Linked DNA regions of Kluyveromyces lactis. The protein of the gene in region 2 purifies or fractionates together with the protein of the main gene of each other region. This does not show direct contact. Links are inferred from orthologs where the notes say so. Each region holds a gene or a part of one and is shown on either strand. Other genes may lie near its edges.

The links.
Region 1: the proteins of UBA1 (region 2) and SER1 purify together in Saccharomyces cerevisiae (affinity purification with mass spectrometry, with the first as the bait; 3 studies listed by BioGRID). This does not show direct contact. The link is inferred for Kluyveromyces lactis from reciprocal best matches to the Saccharomyces cerevisiae genes UBA1 and SER1.

The regions. Positions count from the first base shown.
Region 1 is NC_006039.1:438,299-441,522, forward strand, and holds SER1 (O-phospho-L-serine:2-oxoglutarate transaminase), read left to right. Parts: upstream 1-1,286; coding exon 1,287-2,465; downstream 2,466-3,224. Other genes in the region: RPS30A (40S ribosomal protein eS30), read right to left, coding at 20-208, 738-740; MEC3 (Mec3p), read right to left, coding at 2,472-3,224. UniProt on the Saccharomyces cerevisiae protein: Phosphoserine aminotransferase (PSAT) is a pyridoxal 5'-phosphate-dependent enzyme involved in the second step of the phosphorylated pathway of serine biosynthesis.
Region 2 is NC_006038.1:1,252,730-1,257,071, reverse strand, and holds the start of UBA1 (E1 ubiquitin-activating protein UBA1), read left to right. Parts: upstream 1-1,416; coding exon 1,417-4,342. Other genes in the region: HOC1 (alpha-1,6-mannosyltransferase), read right to left, coding at 1-79; Ran GTPase-binding protein MOG1, read right to left, coding at 289-882.

The DNA.
Region 1 (3,224 bases), on a different chromosome or scaffold from region 2:
TTGAAAATTAATTCTTTGCTTATTGAGAAGATGGAGATGGGTTCATCTTTCTCTTACCGTTGGTCAAAGTAACGTTGACGAATCTTCTGGTGTACAATAATCTCTTGTAAGCTCTACCCTTTGGTTGCTTTGGCTTTTCTTGCTTTTCAACCTTTGGAGTTTGAGACTTAACCTTACCAGCACGAGCTAGGGAACCGTGAACTTTACCCTGTTAAGATAATTCAAAGATCAAATTTGAATCAGTTGTTAGTAAAATAATTCCAATAACCAAAATTTCATAGGTAAGTTCTGAACCTATTCCTCTTCTTCAAAAAGAGAAACTGGCATAACTTCTTTAGTTGGATAGACTTTCAGTGTTATGAACAAGATCTCTCAGTATCTATCGTTGAATTTCCTATTTCCAGATAAGCTCCCTTGATTTTCTGCCACTATAGTACTATATTTCTATGGTGCCCATAAGTAAAAAAAACACATATCATTGATGCTCTTTCCAACGAATGAGAGCTTCACTTTCAACTCATATATGTTTTGATATCTTCGAACTATGATAATGTGTTCGACACATACTTCTGGTACTAGTATTTGCCACTGATCTTACTGGTGTTTCTGTCCTTTATCCCATTATATTTTCTTAACTCCTTATTCATTAATGATTTGTGCCTTCTTATCTTGCTATTTTCGCATTCTTGTTTCATAAACGCTCGCCAGTCCAACAATATATTACACAGTTAACGTACCATTTTGTCTGTAGTTTGTTCTGCTTCTTTAATGTAATCAAAAAGAGTGGAGATTCAATAAACCTTTGCTATGTCTAATCTTATGTACAGAGTACATTTCGACCTTCAAATTCATTACAAACTAAGTTTCCATAAGTTTGACCTCTAAGCTCCTCACAAACTGCTGAAACTTTTCTAAAATATACAGCCAATAATTTCCCGTTTAGGGATATTTCGGGTGTTTCAGATATTTTTGTGTAATATGACGTTGGATGTCTGGATGTATTTCATGAAGAGAATTATAATGGTGTATGGATGTTTGTTGGGATCGAAGACAGTCCTCTGTATGTTCCAAAAGAATGATCCATGCCATTTCACGTGACTTAGACTTGGGGATCATCATTTGTATTACAAGTAATAATTAGTCAATACGAATATTAAATATTTAAATGAAATGATTAAACGATGGATCAAGCAAGTTGCCGTCTTGTTGACTGCAATTTAACAGATTTAAGACCTTAGCAGTATATTACAAGGCCGCCAGTCCGTGAAACTCACATTATATTACCAATGGATAGACCTCAATCGAACTACTTTGGTGCTGGACCAGCACAATTACCATTGCCAGTTTTACAACAGGCTGCCAAGGATTTGATCAATTTCCAGGATGAAGGTCTGGGTATTGGTGAAATCTCTCATCGTTCTAAGGCTGCTGCTAAGGTTATTACCGATACTAAGGCTCATTTGAAGGAATTGTTTGCAATTCCAGATACCCACGAAGTTTTTTTCTTGCAAGGTGGTGGCACCACGGGGTTTTCATCCGTTGCATCCAACTTGTCTGCAGCTCATTTCGGTAAGACCGGTGAGGTAGGTACTGCAGCCTACCTGATCACTGGTTCATGGTCTGAAAAATCTTCTCAGGAGAGCGAAAGGTTAGGTGTTCCAACGGAGGTTATCTTTAATGTGAAGAAAGACAATGGTAGATTTGGAACTATCCCAGAATCAAGCACTTGGGTCCAGAAATTGGATGCTAAGAAGCATTCATATGTGTATCTTTGTGAAAATGAAACAGTTCACGGTGTTGAATGGCCAGAGCAATTGCCTCGAGAATTGATTGACTCAAAGGTTCCTATCGTCGCGGATTTATCCTCTGACATTTTGTCCCGTAAGATCAATGTCGCTGATTATTCCTTGATTATGGCGGGTGCTCAGAAAAACATTGGGTTAGCAGGGTTGACCTTGTACATCATTAAAAAAGACATACTGGATGACATTGCAAAAGTTTCTCCAAAGCAATTGAGGGATGCTTCTCTACCAGTCTCACCAATTGCCACTGATTATCCAACTGTAGTGAAAAATGACTCTGCTTATAACACCATTCCTATCTTCACCTTACATATCATTGACTTAGTTTTACAACGCCTATTGGAACAAGGGGGAATTGAGAGCCAACAAAAAGAAAACGAGGAAAAAGCTAAGATCTTGTATGAAGCTCTAGACAAATTCCCAGAGTTCTACAATCTGCCAGTAGACAAAAAATACAGATCAAAAATGAATGTAGTCTTCACCATTAAGAAGGACGGTTTGGATTCTAAATTTTTGGAAGAAGCTACTAAGCTAAATCTAACTGGGCTCAAGGGTCACAGATCAGTAGGTGGGTTCAGAGCATCTTTGTACAATGCTGTTGAATTGTCTAGTGTTAAGCTGTTAGTCGATTTTGTCACCAAGTTTGCAGAGAACAATCAATGATCGTGATCAGTTTAACGATTTACATTTACTTATGTAATAAATAATTTGACCCTTCTCCTTATTGTTTTCATCTCTGTCAATGCCTCTTTCCAAAGAGCAATGGAAAACACAAGAGTCATCGTGTGATATCACTAGAACGACTTCTTCAAATGATTCATAAAGTTTAGAACAAACTTTCCAATCACGAACCCTTACTATAACCTCGTGACCTTTCAACTTGTCTTGTGATTGCCTAGCAGAAGCGTTTTCTAGCATTGTTGAATGTCGATCAATGGATTTTCCGTGTATACCAGTGTCCAAGACATCACTGTCCTCAATATGCATTTCATTGCATGCTACCGGTGATGGGGATGACTCTGCATTTGTCTCACCGTTGTGTCGAAGCGTATCATCTCTTGGATCAGAGTGTGAATCATCACCTTCCATATCATTGAGCATTGCATCTAACGGGCCTTTCCATGCGATGTTAAGTTTCCAGTCAAATTCATCAACAATTACCTTCAGTGAACCCTTTTCGCCCAATTGTTCGCCATGTATCTTGAGTGTATTGACATTTCCGTATCGTTCTATTCGCTTAAAAAACGCATTAAAACCTGGACCCCATTCACTTACGTGACTCGGAAGTTGTAACATCAAAATCCCCACATAATTAACTGTTGGTTCTACTATCTTCTCGTCTTGAGCATTGTACAGTAATTTGACGCCGACCTTAATATTATGCTGTATCGTCCTTTCATCTCGTGTATCTTGAAATGAAAA
Region 2 (4,342 bases):
AAAGAACCACCACTGCAAACACCAACGGAATTGCAATGGTGGCTATCCTTCTCCAGTTATTTCTCTTGCCCTTGGCCATCTTCACACGGATAGCGCAAGTTATGAACCACTAATCAACACCAGGGCTCCCGCTCGTAGTGATATACCGTTGAGAGTCTAGCTGATGGAGGAATAAGTATGTATTGTTTATCATTGATAATACCATTTCCATAGTTGAAACACTCATTCTTAAAGAAATTCATTACCCGGATATATAATTTACTATACTTTTACTATACCTGGTTTCGATCATGCAAATAACGATGGATCCTCCACTTTGAAGCTCGAGATCATGTCCCGAAGCAACGAATAGGACGCGTGCACCCTTTGAGGTAGCTTTTCCGGTGAGTTTTGCGCAATTGCCTGTTCCATGGCCTTCAGTTCTTGTTCCGATGAGATAGGCACGTGAACAGAAATGATGACGTCGGTATCGAATTGATCCAACCTGAGCAATGCAACACACATTACTACGGTTTCCTTCATCGATTGTTTGCCCCACTTGTATGCGGTCTCAACAACGATACATGTCTGTGATTTGAGTTCCGTTTGCTCTTGATGGTCAATTACTGTCCATTTCTGTGATCCGTTGAGTTCTGAAATTTCTGCCAAATGGATATCTAACGCTTTTCTGTCATTATTCTCTTCCACACGCTGCATTAGGTCTACGATCACACTTTCATCGAACCCGAGCCCATCCTCACTAGGTTCATTCTCACGTCTGCTATTCACGAACACTTCCTGTGTGTCTGGTACTTGCCTTAGCATTGAAGCATCAAGAAACGTCTTGGGAATGACGGTGCTGATGGCACCGCCGTACAATTCTTGTCTGATCCAATGGGACATGGAAAATTAGATATATAGGGTTGTCAGACTGTGGGTAGAGTAAACAATCGCGCTGTCCTTGCCAGTCGAAGTCTCTCCCTCTCTCTTTATCTCTTGAGAAGGACATCTCGTCTTCAAGGTAAGGGAAAATCAAATATCACATTTGACGAACATTCAAATATTATGTGGTGTGCTGGTGTAAATGCATTTATTGTATGCAATGATGGCTTCAAGCATGCCAAATGGGTTTAAATCAAGTGATTACTGTCTCGTATTAATTAATTATTTACGAAACAATTTATATGGGCTCTTGGAACCATACTATCACCTCAAATGCTTCACTTTCTGTCGTATTGTATTCGAACATCTTCCATTCATATCACGTGACTGAAAACTCAACCACTCACGTGACCGAACCCAAAGTGGCAAAAACCGAATTAATAAGGCCAACAACCTATAAACAACTACAAACCAGTTTCCTTAAAACAACAATAGCAACAAGAAGTGAACCGTTCGTTCATTTTGATCACATTGCATCACAAGTTAGTATCAGATATGACGAATATTAAGGTTGATGGCGAAGAAATTGACGAGAGCTTGTACTCTCGTCAATTGTACGTATTAGGTAAAGAAGCGATGTTAAAGATGCAACATTCGAACGTTTTGATCATTGGGTTAAAAGGTTTAGGTGTCGAGATTGCCAAGAACGTTGTCTTGGCCGGTGTTAAGTCTTTAACCCTTTATGATCCAAGCGCTGTCGCTTTACAGGATCTTTCTACGCAGTTTTTCCTGTCAGAACAAGATATTGGGCAAGCTAGAGATAAAGTATCACAGGCAAAATTAGCCGAATTAAACTCATACGTGCCAGTGAAGGTGCTAGAGGGGCTAGAAGACGTGTCACAATTGTCTGAATTCCAAGTAGTTGTTGTGACAGACACGATTTCACTAGAAGAAAAGGTGAAGTTGAATGAGTATACACACTCTCACGGTATCGGTTTCATTTCTACGGAGACCCGTGGGTTATTTGGTAACGTTTTCGTCGATTTAGGTGAAGAATTTACCGTTATTGATACTACTGGTGAAGAGCCAAAGACAGGTATTGTTTCTGATATCGAGTCGGATGGTACAGTGACCATGTTGGACGATAACAGACATGGGTTAGAAGATGGCAATTACGTCAAATTCTCCGAGGTGGAAGGTCTTGAGAAGTTGAATGATGGTACTCCTTACAAGGTCGAGGTGTTGGGTCCGTTCGCATTCAAGATTGGTTCTGTTAAGGATCTTGGTACATACAAGAAAGGTGGTCTGTTCACCGAGGTCAAGATGCCACAGAAATTAACGTTCAAGTCTTTAAGGGAATCTTTGGCAACACCAGAGTTCCTGTACTCGGATTTCGCCAAATTCGAGACTACTGCACAATTACACTTGGGTTTCCAGGCCCTACATCAGTTCCAAGTTAGACATCAAGGTGAATTGCCAAGGCCATTTTATGAAGAAGATTCTAATGAATTAGTTAAACTCGTTATAGATTTAGCTACACAACAACCTGAAGTGCTGGGTTCTGAGGGGAAAGTTGATGAAAAGCTCATCACAGAACTAGCTAACCAAGCAAGAGGTGATATTCCAGGTATCGTTGCTTTCTTCGGTGGTCTGGTTGCTCAAGAAGTGTTAAAGGCCTCCTCCGGTAAGTTCACTCCTATTAAACAGTACATGTATTTCGATTCCATCGAATCTCTACCAGATTCTGAAGATTTCCCAAGAAATGCAGATACCACGAAACCAATCAACTCTCGTTACGATAACCAAATTTCCGTATTCGGTTTGGAATTCCAAAAGAGAATCGCAAATTTGAAGGTATTCCTAGTGGGTTCAGGTGCGATCGGTTGTGAGATGCTCAAGAATTGGGCTTTACTAGGTTTGGCTTCTGGCCCTGAAGGTAAAATTATTGTTACCGACAATGACTCAATTGAAAAGTCGAATTTGAATCGTCAATTCTTGTTCAGACCAAAGGATGTCGGCAGAAATAAATCTGAAGTTGCTGCTGATGCTGTAAGTGCAATGAATCCTGATTTGAAGGGCAAGATCGAGCCAAAGATTGACAAAGTTGGTGCTGAAACAGAGAATATTTTCAACGATGCTTTTTGGAATCAATTAGACTTCGTTACCAACGCATTGGATAATGTGGATGCTCGTACCTATGTCGACCGTCGTTGTGTGTTCTACAAGAAACCTTTACTAGAATCGGGAACATTGGGGACAAAGGGTAATACACAAGTGGTTATCCCTAACCTGACAGAATCTTATTCATCTTCAAGAGACCCTCCTGAAAAGTCAATCCCATTGTGTACATTGCGTTCATTCCCTAATAAGATTGATCACACTATCGCTTGGGCCAAATCCCTATTCCAAGGCTACTTCTCTGACGCAGCTGAAAATGTTAACCTATACTTGACGCAACCAAACTTCGTAGAACAAACTTTGAAACAAGCCCCAGATGCCAAAGGTATCTTAGAATCAATTAGTGATTGTCTAAACAATAGACCTTACAACTTTGAAGATTGTGTCAAATGGGCAAGATTAGAATTTGAAAAGAAGTTTAGTTATGATATCCAACAGTTTCTTTACAACTTCCCTAAGGATGCAACAACATCCACCGGGGAGCCATTCTGGTCTGGTCCAAAGCGTGCCCCTGAACCATTAGTCTTCAATATCGAAAACCCAGATCACTTCCACTTCATCGTTGCATCTGCTAACTTGCGTGCGTTCAATTATGGTCTAAAGGGAGATGATGGTAAACCAGACATTAACTACTATCAATCCGTCCTATCAAAGCTTATAGTTCCTGAATTTATTCCAAAAGCTGACATCAAAATTCAAACCAATGACGATGAACCAGATCCAAACGCGAACAACCAGCTTGGTGGCGATGTCTTAGAAAACTTGGCAGCTTCTTTGCCAGATGCTTCTACCTTAGCTGGTTTCCAACTAATCCCAGTTGAATTTGAAAAGGATGACGATACAAACCATCATATTGAGTTCATTACTGCTGCATCGAACAACCGTGCTCTAAACTACTCTATCGAACCAGCTGATCGTCAAAAGACTAAGTTCATTGCTGGCCGTATCATTCCTGCCATCGCTACAACCACTGCTTTGGTTACAGGATTGGTCAACCTAGAACTATACAAAGTCGTCGCTGGAAAGACAGATATTGAACAATACAAGAACGGGTTTGTGAATTTAGCTCTTCCATTTTTCGGTTTCTCAGAACCAATCGCATCACAAAAGGGTAAATACAATGATAAGACTTTCGATAAAATATGGGATAGATTCGATATTCAAGGTGATATCACATTAAGAGAGTTGATTGATCACTTCAACAAGGAAGAAGGATTGGAAATTACAATGGTCTCCTACGATGTTTCTTTACTATACGCATCATTCTTCCCTCCAAAAAAACTAAAGGATAGAATGGATCTTC